Stegostoma tigrinum: one gene and its partner. The protein of the gene in region 1 purifies or fractionates together with the protein of each later gene. This does not show direct contact. Links are inferred from orthologs where the notes say so. Each region holds a gene or a part of one and is shown in the gene's direction. Other genes may lie near its edges.

Region 1 (7,321 bases):
CTGGAATAAATAGGGAGAGGAGGGAGGCGGACTGAAGATGGAGAGAAAAGAAGATAGGTGGAGAGGAGAATATAGGTGAGGAGGTAGGGAGGGGATAGGTCAGTCCAGGGAAGACGGACAGGGCAAGGACGCGGGATGAGGTGGTAGGTAGGAAATGGAGGTGTGGCTTGAGGTGGGAGGAAGGGATGGGAGATAGGAAGAACAGGTTAGGGAAGCGGAGACAGGCTGGGCTGGTTTTGGGATGCAGTGGGGGGAGGGGAAGAACTGGGCTGGTTTTGGGATGCAGTGGGGGAAGGGGAGATTTTGAAGCTTGTGAAGTCCACATTGATACCATTGGGCTGCAGGGTTCCCAAGCGGAATATGAGTTGCTGTTCTTGCAACCTTCAGGTGGCATCATTGTGGCACTGCAGGAGGCCCATGATGGACATGTCGTCTAAGGAATGGGAGGGAGAGTTAAAATGGTTTGTGGCTGGGAGGTGCAGTTGTTTGTTGCAAACCAAGTGGAGGTGTTCTAAAAGCAGACCCCAAGCCTCCGCTTGGTTTCCCCAATGTAGAGGAAGCCACACCGGATACAATGGATACAATATACCACATTGGCAGATGTGCAGGTCAACATCTGCTTGATATGGAAGGTCATCTTGGGGCCTGGGATAGGGGTGAGGGAGGAGGTGTGGGGGCAAGTATAGCACTTCCTGCGGTTGCAGGGGAAGGTGCCGGGTGTGGTGGGGTTGGAGGGGAGTGTGTAGCGGACAAGGGAGTCGCGGTGAGAGTGGCCTCTCCAGAAGGCAGACAAGGGTGGGGATGGAAAAATGTCTTGGGTGGTGGGGTCGGATTGTAGATGGCGGAAGATGATACTTTGTATCCGGAGGTTGGTGGGGTGATATGTGAGAACGAGTGGGGGTCCTCTGGGGGCGGGGGTGGAGTGTGAGGGATGTGTTGCGGGAAATGCGGGAGATGCGGCCCAGGGTGTTCTCGACCACTGCGGGGGGAAAGTTGCGGTCCTAGAAGAACGTGGACATCTGGGATGTGCGGGATTGGAATGCCTCATCCTGGGAGCAGATGTGGCAGAGGCAGAGGAATTGGGAATAGGGGATGGAATTTTTGCAGGAGGGTGGGTGGGAGGAGGTGTATTCTAGGTAGCTGTGGGAGTCAGTGGGATTGAAATGGACATCAGTTTCTAGCTGGTTACCTGAGATGGAGACTGAGAGGTCGAGGAAGGTGAGGGATGTGTTGGAGATGGCCCAGGTGAACTTGAGGTTGGAGTGGAAGGTGTTGGTGAAGTGGATGAACTGTTTGAGCTCCTCTGGGGAGCATGAGGCGGTGCCGATACAGTCATCAATGTAACTGAGCAAGAGGTGGGGTTTGGGGCCTGTGTAGGTGCGGAAGAGGGACTGTTCCATGTAACCTACAAAGAGGCAGGCATAGCTTGGGCCCATGCGGGTACCCATGGCCACCCCCTTTGTCTGTAGGAAGTGGGAGGAGTCGAAAGAGAAGTTGTTGAGGGTGAGGACGAGTTTGGCTAGGCGAGTGAAGGGGTCAGTGGAGGGAGGGTTGGGCTCCTAGTTAAAGAAGTAAGCGTGGAGGCGAAGGCGGCAGAAAAACTGCTCGATGTCCAAATGTGACTGGTATTCATTGATGTGTGGGTGGAGGGGGACAAACGTGAGCCCCTTGCTTAGGACTGACCGTTCGTCCAAAGTCAGTGGGAGGTCTGGCGGGATGGTGAAGATGCGGCAGGGCTCAGTGTGGCTGTCTTCTCTGGGGTTGCTGGCTGTGGAGGTTATGGGCGGAGCGATGTGGTCGTCGGCTGTGGGCAGGGTTCCGTCGGTGGTGGGAGGAGTGGGGTGAGCGGCTTCCCCCCGCATTGGTCGAGAACGCCCTTGACTGTATTTCCCGCAACACATCCCTCACACCCCGCCACAACCACCCCCAGAGGATCCCCCTCGTTCTCACATACCACCCCACCAACCTCCGGATAGAACGTATCATCCTCCGACACTTCCGCCATCTACAATCCGACCCCACCACCCAAGACATTTTTCCATCCCCACCCTTGTCTGCCTTCCGGAGAGACCACTCTCACTGTGACTCCCTTGTCCGCTCCACACTCCCCTCCAACCCCACCACACCCGGCACCTTCCCCTGCAACCGCAGGAAGTGCTACACTTGCCCCCACACCTCCTCCCTCACCCCCATCCCAGGCCCCAAGATGACCTTCCATATCAAGCAGATGTTGACCTGTGCATCTGCCAATGTGGTATATTGTATCCATTGTACCCGGTGTGGCTTCCTCTACATTGGGGAAACCCGCTTGGGGACCGCTTTGCAGAACACCTCTGCTCGGTTCGCAACAAACAACTGCACCTCCCAGTCGCGAACCATTTTAACTCCCCCTCCCATTCCTCAGATGACATGTCCATCATGGACCTCCTGCAGTGCCACGATGATGCCACCTGAACATTGCAAGAACAGCAACTCATATTCCGCTTGGGAACCCTGCAGCCCAATGGTATCAATGTGGACTTCACAAGCTTCAAAATCTCCCCTTCCCCCACTGCATCCCAAAACCAGCCCAGCTTGTCGCCTCCCCCCCACTGCATCCCAAAACCAGCTCAGCTTGTCGCCTCCCCCCCACTGCATCCCAAAACCAGCCCAGCCTGTCTCCAAGATAATAAAATGTGAGGCTGGATGAACACAGCAGGCCAAGCAGCATCTCAGGAGCACAAAAGCTGACGTTTCGGGCCTAGACCCTTCATCAGAGAGCTCTCTGATGAAGGGTCTAGGCCCGAAACGTCAGCTTTTGTGCTCCTGAGATGCTGCTTGGCCTGCTGTGTTCATCCAGCCTCACATTTTATTATCTTGGAATCTCCAGCATCTGCAGTTCCCATTATCTCTGATACTATTTTAACCCCCAGCCTGTCTCCACTTCCCTAACCTGTTCCTCCTCTCACCCATCCCTTCCTCCCACCTCAAGCCACACCTCCATTTCCTACCTACCACCTCATCCTGCCTCCTTGACCTGTCCGTCTTCCCTGGACTGACCTACCCCCTCCCTACCTCCTCACCTATACTCTCCTCTCGACCTATCTTCTTTTCTCTCCATCTTCGGTCCGCCTCCCTCTCTCTCCCTATTTATTCCCATTCCCTCTCCCCATCCCCCTCTCTGATGAAGGGTCTCAGCCTGAAATGGCAGCTTTTGTGCTCCTGAGGTGCTGCTTGGCCTGCTGTGTTCATCCAGCTTCACACTTTGTTATCCTGGATTCTCCAGCATCTGCAGTTCCCATTATCACGTAAGATCCAAGAGGATGTGTTGCAATTTATCAGTTAACACTCATCATGCTGCTTGGTTACTTAACATAAAAGCAAGAATTCAACTAATAAAACCAAAATTGAGTTCAGAGAAGGCTGCTTGAGAGCAATATACAAGAAGCAGTGTGAAGGATTTTTATTTGCTAAAGCATTTTTTAAAATAAATTGTTCTCTTGTAAGTTCTACAATAAATGGCTGGTTCTGTGCAGCTCTGCTGCACAGATCAGATTTGGTCCCTGATTTCTGCTAAATTAATTGATTTCATGTTCAACAGTGGTAGGTGCACCATGGGAAGATTCAGCGTAATGTCTCGCTTCTGACAACTCTATCTTTATTTAGATATGATGCTACACGTAGATAAAACTAACTGCTTGACTATAACATACACATCTTAATCCTAGTCCTGCTGCTCAGAGACTGAATAAACGTACATAACAATCTGAACAGGACATGATTGAGTAAACCTTTGCGACTTCATTTGGTTTTGAATCTTGTAACTCGTGTTAGTTTTGGTCAAAAAAATCAAAACACCAGTTTTTTGAAGTTATGAAGTTGGAGGTCCAAACAAAATGTTGCACAAATATAAGTAGAGGTTGGCAAGCCTATTTGACACATCTTGTTTAATGTTCCCAAAAATAAGTACACGTTTTCACCCTCCTAGAGTGCTGACCCCAACGTTGGTCTCCCGGAATCCAATTCTAACATGAGTTTTTAATCTCCATAACCTTAAATAAAGAACCATCCAGGCATCTTTATGGATGCTCATGTCCTCAGGCCTCTGGATTACCAGTCTACGTGACACAGCCGGTACACCACTATCTTCTCTCAGTGATGTGCAGTTTTGATGGGTCTCTCCCGTGGAGTTTATGGAGAATATCCCGGTTATCAAGAGGAGGTTACCTTCACCATTTAGACCGGTGAATCGATGGTGGCTTGGCTGTGGTTGCTGAGCAACAACGTTGGCCTCGGTCGCCAGACCGCGGAAGTGAGGTAAGGCCGGCACCGGAAGTTATGGTGCGAAGTTTCTGCTGCTCCTATGAGAGATGGCGGTGGATGTCCGCTCCAGGGCCAAGCGTTACGAGAAGCTCGACTTCCTGGGCGAGGGGCAGGTAAGGTTTACCCCTAAAGACCAAAGCACCCGCTGTTGGCAGGGCTCAGTATTTGCGCTCGTTGCTTTTGTTATGGCGGCGGAGGCTGATTATTACTTCCCAAAACTTCTAACATCGTGTTGCTGGAGAAGCTTTATTCAGTTCTGAACGGAAAATTATCGGTTTCACTCATTCCTGCTTTAAGAATAGCCAGAGAACAGTGAAACAGTTGAGAACTGTCGATGCTGTAAATCAGAAACAAAAGCAGAAATTACTGGAAAAGCTCAGCGGTATCTGTGGAGAGAAATCAGTGTTATCGTTTCAGGTCGAGTGACTCTTCCTCAGAACTCAGTATAAGCAAACCTCGTTCAATTTTATAATGTCGACTTGATAGCACTCGCTCCTTTGAATCACAAGATTCCGGATTCAAGTCTTCCTTCAGGACTTGAGAAAATAAAAATCACGAGTGCTGGAGGTACCGTCCTTTGGATGAGATGTCAGACCAAGGCTCGTTCTGTCTGCTTAGCTGCATGTAAAAGATCTCATGGCACATGTTGGAGGAAGAAGAGGTTTTTGTCCTCAATGTCTTAGCCGATACTTACTACTCCCCCAACATCAGGAAGAACGTTACCGGGTCTTTGTCACATTTCCGTTTGCTGAACACAAACTGACTGCCACCTCTTATATATTACAGCATAGTAAAAGTACTTCATTGGCTAAAAAGCGCTATGAGACACCTGGTGGTTGTGAAAAGTGCTGTAAATTGAAGTTATTTTGTAGCCAGTGTTTTACAAAGAAAAATTAAGCAGTTGAATAAAACTAAAAAGGATGAATTTTAACATTCAGCTGTTGAAGTTAGAATCATATTTGCATGCTAAATGGAATTTATATTGGGAGATAAGGAAATGACTGAGAAGCTAAATAAAGCTGTTTGTATCTGTCTTCCCGGATAACCTACCAGAAGTGCTTGACAACAAAGACACCAGCAGAATGAGGCACAAAAGTTAAAAAGTAGTCCTGAATGTTGATTAATCCTCAGGATCTATTGATCTACATATCTACATAGAGTTGAGAGAAATGGCTGTAGAGATGGTGAATTCTGACCATCTTCAGATTAAAGTTTGCAGATGTAACTACACTATTTAGGAATGAAAGAAGAGTGAAAACAGAACTTTTCAGCCTTATATCAGTAATAGGTAAATCTATTAAGTCTGTAATAACTGGACACTGAGGAAAATAGCTTCCTGGTTCTGATGAAGAGTCGATGGACCAAAACATTAATTCTGCTTTCCCTCCACAGATGCTACCAGACCTGTTGAGTTTCTTCAGCAATTTCTGTTCTTGTTTCAGATTTTCAGCATCTTGGTTTTATTATATAACTGAGAAAATAATGATCTGATTGACAGTCAACGTGGTTTAATGAAAGGGAAATTGTCGTGTTTGTCAAATCAATCGGGAGTTTTTTTTCAGAATGTAGCTAAAAGGATAGATAAGCAGGATCTCTGGATGTGTATTTGGATTTTCAGGAGGCTTTCAATTAAGGTCCTCTACATGAGGTGCGTAAAATTAAAATACTTGGGATTGGGGTAGTCTATTGCCATAGAATTGGCTAAAAGATACAAAACAGAGATAGGAATAAACAGGTCCTTTTCAAGTTAGCATCTTGGGCTACCTCACAGATCCAGATATTCAGTGATTTTGGATGTGGGGACCAAATATATTTTCCAAGTTTGCAAATGACACCAAACTAGGTGGGAAGTGTTATGAGGTGAATGCACAGATGCCTCAAGGGATTTACGCTGAATGAATGGGTAAGAACATGGCAGGTATAATACAATATGGCAAGATGTGAAATTAATCAGGTAGGTGGAAAAACAGATGTGGCATAATCCTTAAGTGGTGAGGGATTGGGAAGAGTTGATGTCAAAATGGACCTGGGTGCCCTAGTTCATTAGTCACCAAAAGCCGATATCCTGGTACAGTGACCAATGAAGAAGCCAAATGATATGTCAACTTACAGCATGTAAACAGACCTTCAGTGAAAATAGTCCCTGCTGACCATGTTCCCAAACTAAACTACACCTGAGTATAAGAAATAAAATAGAAAGATATAACTTAGAGAACCCATCAAGGAGTGTCTTGCTGCACTTGTGCAGTCTCATCAAGGCTGTGTACATGTTTTGGTGAAGTGCACATGGTGTAGAGCTTGGTCTTGCCCAAGAGAATGATATACTTGTTATAGAGAGTGTGCAATAAGGGTTCACAGATTGATTCCTGGGATGGAATAGATCCTGCTGTGATGAGAGATTGAGGAGACTGGGCTTGTAGATTAGAAGAATGAGTAATGACCCCATTGAGATCTACAAAATTCTCATAAGGCATGCCACATAAATGCAGGAGTAGTATTTCCATGGTTGTGAAGGTCTAGATTTATTTCCTTCCTAATTTCTTCAAAGCTGTGTGGACTTCCAAGGTCCATGCTTGGCAGCTGCTGAAGAAAACAGATGTGAGTTCAGCAACACAGAGTCAGCATGCTGACCAGTGTACATGGATATTCAGCTGCCCATGCAGCTTAGCAGGAACATTGGTCTGGATTGAGAGAGCCAGTCTCAGACTAAGGGATGGGGTACTTGAGACTGAGAGGGAGGTAGACTTCTTAACTTCAAATCAAACACTTTGTGAACTCTCCAACTTTGCCAGCACTTGACCCAGACATTGATCAGAGGTGTTGATAAACCTGGAGTCCAAATCACTCTGTCAACTATTCAAACTCAGATCTAGAATCCACTTTCAAACCATCAAGTGAATTGTGTGCTCAGGGTTGCTTGTGTATCTTGGGCAATAAAAAGGACACGAAATTGAAGATATCAAAGGGTTCTGTGTGTTGCTTTCCCCACTGGCTTGTGGGCAGCTTCGTTACATGATGT
Region 2 (7,660 bases), on another chromosome or scaffold:
TTCATGAACCTCTTCCAGGCCCCACATCTCACTCACTCACCATGCCCACCTTCCAAATTTTCTCCCTTCTCACACTTTCTGAGTAACTCCCTTTAGACCTACGACTCACTCAGTCAACACCCGCTCTCCTAACTGGCTTTCTGTTTCTAAGCTTCGTCATCACAGATGTCAAGGCAACTGGCCCATAGTTTTCTGTTTTCTACATCCCTACCTTCTTGAATATTGGAGTTAGATTTTCCACTTTCCAGTCTGATGGCAATATTCTGAACTGTAGCAAATTTTGGAAAATTAACACAAATGAATCTACTACCTCATTAACCACCTATTTTAATGCTGTTAGGGGGAAATTTGGGTATGACGAGTTAACCTGTTATCTACATGAAGTTCCAACTGGGATTAGAATGAGTTAGAGAGTTTTAGATAACTTCATAAGCTACAGTAATACAAATCCTACTACCTCAGTAATATAAATCATTTATGATTCTGTTTTATTTATTCTTATTCAAGGAAGTAATCAGGTTAAAAGGAACTGCAGAAATACGATCAGATGCTGATGTAGCAGACAGAGTTTCTGTGAAAATGTACTGTGGCTGAACCAGCATTAACCCTGAGGTCTTATTTGGAAGTGTAATGAGAAGATGACCCCATACTACAGTGAGAAAAACAAAGTAATGGAGTCGAGTCAAGGATGGGAATAAAGCGTAGCCTTCAGAGAGGAGATACAATGACATCTGGGAAGATATGAGTGGTAAGACCAAGTGTAACAGGCACCTTGGCACTTTAGGAATGTATGATAAACAAGGTCTTTGTCTAAAGCAGATCATCTTGGAATTCAAGTACTATCTATGTGACTTACAATGTATGAATATCTAATTAATCCTCATTGAGTTAGAATGCTATCTTGGAATCTTTCCTTGGGCAGACCGTCCCAGCACTGGATCAATGTATGATCATTGACCTCTACCTCAACAATGCCCTCGGATGAAATACATCAGGACCTGGGAACTTTGTTCTTGGCTTTATTAATAAGGGCATAGAGTACAAGAGCAGGGAGATGATGTTGAACTTGTGCAAAACACTTGTTAAACATCAGCTGGTGTATTGTATATGTTTGTGGGCACATTACAGGAATAGTGTGATTGCATTGGAGAGAGTGCAAAAATGATTTATATGAATGATCATAGAATCCCTACAGTATGGAAACAGGCCCTTCAGCCCAACAAGTCCACACCGACCCTTGGAGCATCTTACCCGACTCATCCCCCAATAACCCACCTAATCTACACTTCCATGCACACTATGGGCAATTTAGCATGGCCAGTCCACCCAGTCGGCACATTTTTGGACTGTGGGAGGAAACCAGAGCACTTGGAGGAAGCCCACACAGACACAGGGAGAATATGCAAACTCCACACAGGTAGTTGCCAAGGGTGGAATCAAACCTGAGTCCCTGGCACTGTGAGGCAGCAGTGCTAACCACTGAGTCACTGTGTCACCCCATGGATGGTTCAAAGAATGAGATATTTCAGTTCTGAGGATAGGGTGAAGAGGTTGGGACTGTTCTCGTTGGAAAGATAAGGCGGGAGAAGATTTGATAGAGGTTTGCAAAATCATGATCAGTGGGGAGAAGCTGTTCCTTCTGAAAAAAAGTAAAAAAAAATGAGTGGGCATAGATTTAAAGTGATTTAATTGAACTGGCACAGGCATGATGGGGCTGAATGGCTTCCGTATTTATCCTAGGTTGCTCCGGGAAGCGAGAAAGGAGGTTGCTAAGCCGCTGGCAAAGACCTTTGCTTCCTCACTCTCCACGGGAGTCACACCGGAAGATTGGAGGGAGGCAAATGTTGTTCCTCTTTTCAAGAAAGGGAATAGGGAAATCCCTGGAAAATACAGACCAGTCAGTCTTATGTCTATGGTCAGCAAGGTTTTGGAAAGAATTCTGAGGGATAGGATTTATGACTATTTGGAAAAGCATAGCGTGATTAAACGGAGTCAGCATGGTTTTGTGAGGGGAAGGTCATGCCTTACCAATATTATTGAGTTCTTTGAGGAAGTCACGAGACAGGTTGATGAGGGTCGAGCAATGGATGTGGTGTACATGGACTTCAGCAAGGCATTTGATAAAGTTCCCCACGGCAGGCTCATGCATAAAGTCAGGAGGTATGGGATACAGGGTGATTTGGCTGTCTGGATTCAGAATTGGTTGGCTGACAGGAGGCAGAGAGTGGTTGTAGATGGTAAGTATTCTGCCTGGAGGTCACTGCTGAGTGGTGTCCCGCAGGGCTCTGTTCTTGGGCCTCTGCTCTTTGTAGTTTTTATAAATGACTTGGATGAAGAGGTTGTGGGGTGGGTTAGTATGTTTGCTGATGACACAAAGGTTGGAGGTGCCATTGATAGTATGCCGGCGATTGCAGGCATCAGCAGGACATTGACAGAATGCAGAGCTGGGCTGAGAAATGGCAGATGGAGTTCAACCTGGATAAATGCGAAGTGATGCACTTTGGAAGGTCGAACTTAAATGCTGAATACAGGATTAAAGGCAGGATTCTCGGCAGTGTGGAGGAACAGCGAGATCTTGGTGTTCAAGTGCATAGTTCCCTCAAAGTTGCCACCCAGGTGGATAAGGTTGTTAAGAAAGCATATGGTGTTTTGGCTTTCATTAACAGGGGGATCGGGTTTAAGAGCCGTGAGGTTATGCTGCAGCTCTACAAAACCCTGGTGAGACCACACTTCGAATATTGTGTCCAGTTCTGGTTGCCCTATTATAGGAAAGATGTGGAGGCTTTGGAGAGGGTGCAAAGGAGGTTTACCAGGATGCTGCCTGGACTGGAGGGCTTGTCTTACGAGGAGAGGTTGACTGAGCTCGGACTTTTCTCTCTGGAGAGAAGGAGGAAGAGAGGCGACCTGATCGAGGTGTACAAGGTAATGAGAGGCATGGATAGAGTCGATAGCCAGAGACTTTTCCCCAGGGCAGGATTGACTGCCATGAGGGTTCATAGTTTTAAGGTGTTAGGAGGAAGGTATAGAGGAGACGTCAGAGGGAGGTTCTTCACCCAGAGAGTTGTGAGCGCATGGAATAGTTTGCCAGTGGTAGTCGTGGAAGCGGAGTCATTAGTGACATTTAAGCGACTGCTGGACATGCACATGGACAGCAGTGAATTGAAGGGAATGTAGGTAAGGTTATTTTGTTTTTGGATTAGGATTATTCCACGGCACAACATCGTGGGCCGAAGGGCCTGTACTGTGCTGTACTTTTCTATGTAACAGTGCTGTGAATTTATGAATTTGTCAGCCTGCAGCTCCATCAGTTTGTTCATTACTACTTCCCTGGTGATTGTAACTTCACCAAATTGGTCTCTTCCTTCAGTTATGATCCTAGTTGATTTTATTATTGGACAAGTCAGATCTCAGTCAGGACCCTAGCTGAGATCATATTTTTATTTGTTGTGATCCTTTAACAATAAAATATATAGCAAATTCAAATATTTTAAATACCCAGTAAAAGTATAACCCAATAAGTCCCAACATATTATTTTATAAATTGAAAAGAAATGAAACAACTACTGTGTAATACCAAACACACCACTGCTACAGGTCCCAAACATGCTTCACATAATACTCACACTACAGTCCCTGTACCAGATTTAAGTCACATATGACTTCAATTTTTCTGGAATAAGATGTAGCTATTTTCATACCTGCGTTTCACTGGACTTATTTTAAGTAACCTTGTCAAGGTTTTTATCCCAACGCTTCTGGTCTGGGACTAAAAATGACTTTTCTCTCCAATCTAATCCACAGTATCTACCATTCTCTTCTCAGGAAGATGCTCAGATCTACATTGGATTGATTCATATCAGAGGCACAGTAACACTGTATTAGTCTGAGTCAGAGTTGCACTGTACTCATAAATCTGGTTGAGCAGTAGTAGGGTGACTAGAAGTAACAGCAGCAGGACAATCCTTAAAAATTGGGACAATTACCCAGAACTTCCGACTATCCTTAACTGTAAATGTCAGGGAGAACAATTTTATCTTTATACAATTAATCTATCTTGGAGTATACTTGATCTGTCTCTCGGTTATTAATCACATATCAAGCCAACTTTGCTGACTTCACAGGTTCCATGTTTTGCGAAACGTCTTAGCTGACATGTCCTTCAGTGGAATATGAGAATCCTTTATCAGAATACTAACTCATTGCTTGCACTAACTGTCATGCCTCCAACTCTCCTTGGTGCATATTTGGGTGAATTTTAACCATCAACCCTGGAGTCGATGTGTAGCACAGAAAGGGGAGGCCACTGAAACAGTGGCTTGAGGTTCCCTAATCACACTTTTAGAAACAAACATTGAATGTACTTTTCCAGCTGCCCACGTACTGTGGAAAGATATCCTGTTACTTTGGCACACTGACCAAATCAGTCATGCGTGATACAGCATACCAGACGTGTACGTATGACAAGACAATTCAATTTGAGATAATATAACAAACCGTTTGGAGGGAAATTTGCGGACAAAAAATAAACACATTTCCACAAGGAGGCTGGGACTTAAACGACTCCGACTCCGAACTGAAACGCTATATAACCCCTCTAATCATTTCGGTGCAACTCTGACCCAATGTGGTGTCATTTTGTTCGAGGTGCCGTTAACTGATTGGTCATGTTTGAATTGCGTGTGTTATCCCAGATCGCTTAGCGCTGCGAGAGAAGAAATGGTTGTTCCGTAGAGATCAGGTTTGAGTATTGAATCTTTTCTCCCCCCCCACCTTTTAAATTGTAAAACTTATGCATATGTGTTTTCGTAATGCTAATCCTTACTTGACCATGTTAATAATGGTGTGCTGTCTCGAGAAATGTCCCGCCTCCAACTGATGTTTCTTTTATATTGTATGGTAGGTTTGAGTTTTTTTCTCGGGGGGCGTGAAGGCGCCCATCACGGATCTGGCCTGATCTACGGTAATTAGCACTTTTCCACTTCATCTTACTTGGATGACAAGAATTAGTCACGCAGCACAGAAACAGGCCTTTCGGTCCACCATGTTTGTGCTGACTAACAAACATCAAACTGTACTAACAGAAGTTGCTAGAGATAAGAGATTGCTCGAAGTTCCTTCCTCAGAGGAAGAGTCACTGGACCCGGAACGTTAACCCTGATTTTTTTTCCTTCACAGATGCTGCCAGGCCTGTTGAGATTTTCCAGCAACTTCTGTTTTTGTCACTGATTTACAGCATCTGCAGTTCTTTCGGTTTTTACCAAACCACAGTAATCCTGTTTACCTGTATTTAGTGCACTACTGTGCCCTGGCATTTTAAGTGCCACATGCTTCTTAGGTGTTGCAAGAGTATCTGCTTCTGCTGCCCCCTCAGACACCGCGTTCCTTATTTCTACAACCCTCTGGGTGAAAATGTTTTTCTTCCGATCTCTTCTAAACAACTTGTTCCTCACCTTTAATTTTAAGCGTTCTGGTCTTAGACATGTATGCTGCAGGGAAAAGATTCTTAAGATTCTATATATCTTGTCTGCCTGTGCTTCTTATAATTTTGTATACCTCAATCAGATATCTTCTCTGCTCCAAGAAAACGAAACCCAGTCTTCCCTTACAACTGAGACTTTTCATCCGAGGCAACATCCTGATGAATCTCCTCTGTACCCACTCTACTGCAATCACATCTGCCCCATTGTGTAGCAAACAACATGGTATTCTGTTTGCGGCATAACAAAGTTGTAGCAAGACTTCCTTGCTACTATATTCTATGCCCCAGCTAATGAAGGCAAACATCATGAATGCTTTCTTCATCACCGTGTCCAGCTGTGCTGACACCTTTACGGACTTGAACACCAAAGTCCTTTTGTCCCTCAGTTCACTTGATAGTAAATTTAAGTGCGACTATTGGAATGATGACTGCAGAAGTAGAGCATCAAGTTAAGTGCCAGAAAGACACTGGTGTTATGTATATGTTTTCTAATCAACCTGTTAATAGATATTAGACACCTCTGGAATAGGTGGGCCTTAAATCTAGGCTGCCTGGCTCAAAGGCAAGAACATTACCGTTGTATCAAGAAGGCAAAATGAAGCCATCGAAGGCCAAGTTGAGACTATTTGATGGGACGGTACTCCACTCAATATCCAAACAATATCCACTCATACCAGCTGAAAAAGTTTTTAAGCATGGTTTGGTAACCTTGGTTTCACTGACCAGATCCTAAAGGAAAATGTTTCGACAGGTCTTTGTCACCCTGGTAAATAATTTGAAATAGATGAACAGGCGAGACCAGCTCAGCATCTGGAGAGATCTGGCTGCTCTCAAGTCCACCTGAAAATCAAGAGAAGTTGAAAAAGGAGTAATGAATCAAGGACGAGGCAACTCAGACAGATTGACTTGCAAAGTGATAGCAGTGAAATAACCTGGAAGGACTTCAATAAAACCTTGAAGAGATCTTACTACTGCCTGCTAACCATTGAAGATATTTCGTCATAATTTGTGAAGGCAAAGATCTTTACTATTCTCCTTGTGGTGGATACTAGCAAGTGAAGTTGGATGAATTCAGAAACTCTTGTGATGTTTGAGAAGTACCTGCAATTTGGAATTTCAGCTTCTTCAGAAGATCATCGCCACACAATGAGACAGCTGTTGACTTTTCTAGAGTGGAAGTGATTGGCGTTATCTGCTGGTCTGTTGATGTGTTGAAATGACAGAGGCCGTTGCACACCACATTCTTCTCAGTGCTGGAGAGTTCACCAGATGAAATTGAATCTGGACAAGAAAAGAAAACAGTTCAAGGTGCCTAAATTCAGATATGAGATTCACGTACTGACAGCAGTGGAATTGTCCCTGATAACATTGAGAATTGTAGTAGAGGTGTTTTAATTTAAAGTTCAGTAGTACAGGACTTGAGCTTTTCTGAAAAACTTTGTCTTGCACACATTAAGATAGCTTGCAAGAAATATTAATTTGTAAGGGAGCAACTACTTTATTGTATGAGAAGTGTGCTGATTGGTACAGGTGTTGCCATGGGGAATACACCAGTTAGGTGGTGATTGACAGGTAACTCCGGTTTTGTGTAATTTATTTAAACCAGGCAGGCTGACTCTGATTCGACTGGGAAATGAAGGAGAGAATAGCTGTTGCCTGTTTAATTGCGTTGAAAAAGGTGCTGTATGTGCTCATGTTCATTCAGTCTGCAAAGTCTGTAGCACACAAGTGGCTGCGCTATGCAGAGCTGTTGGGGGAGTAAAGAAGAGGAGAGAAGAGAGAATAGTGATACAAAATTCTGTCATGAGGGAAGCAGATGTTTCTGTAGCCGGTGTGTGGTAAAGGATGTCACTGAGTGGTTCTAGGATATTCCGAAGGGGTAAAATGAACAACCAGAGAGTATGGTTCATGTCCATGTCTACGAACACAAGTTAAAAGGGTGTATGATAAGCAGAATGTAAGGAGCTAGGAGTTAAATTCAAAAACAGGGCCTCAAGGGTAGTAATTTGGGGACTACTCCCAGGGCTGCATGGCAGTATGTTTAGAAATAGGAGAGATGGTGCAGGAGGGAAGATTTTAGATTTCTGAGGCATTAGGTATGATTCTGGGGCTGATGGAAGCCGCACAAACTGGACAGATTACACCTCAACAGGGCTGGAACAAATATCCTTGCAGGGGCAT

What was found.
Region 2: the proteins of cdk7 (region 1) and gtf2h5 purify together in Homo sapiens (affinity purification with mass spectrometry; 7 studies listed by BioGRID and IntAct, with this or other methods). This does not show direct contact. The link is inferred for Stegostoma tigrinum from reciprocal best matches to the Homo sapiens genes CDK7 and GTF2H5.

What each region holds. Positions count from the first base shown.
Region 1 is NC_081356.1:109,484,507-109,491,827, reverse strand, and holds the start of cdk7 (cyclin-dependent kinase 7), read left to right. Parts: upstream 1-4,295; 5' UTR 4,296-4,349; coding exon 4,350-4,415; intron 4,416-7,321. UniProt on the Homo sapiens protein: Serine/threonine kinase involved in cell cycle control and in RNA polymerase II-mediated RNA transcription. Cyclin-dependent kinases (CDKs) are activated by the binding to a cyclin and mediate the progression through the cell cycle.
Region 2 is NC_081362.1:31,605,306-31,612,965, forward strand, and holds the start of gtf2h5 (general transcription factor IIH subunit 5), read left to right. Parts: upstream 1-4,576; 5' UTR 4,577-4,738; intron 4,739-4,900; 5' UTR 4,901-4,960; intron 4,961-7,660. Other genes in the region: protein SERAC1, read left to right, coding at 508-594. UniProt on the Homo sapiens protein: Component of the general transcription and DNA repair factor IIH (TFIIH) core complex, which is involved in general and transcription-coupled nucleotide excision repair (NER) of damaged DNA and, when complexed to CAK, in RNA transcription by RNA polymerase II.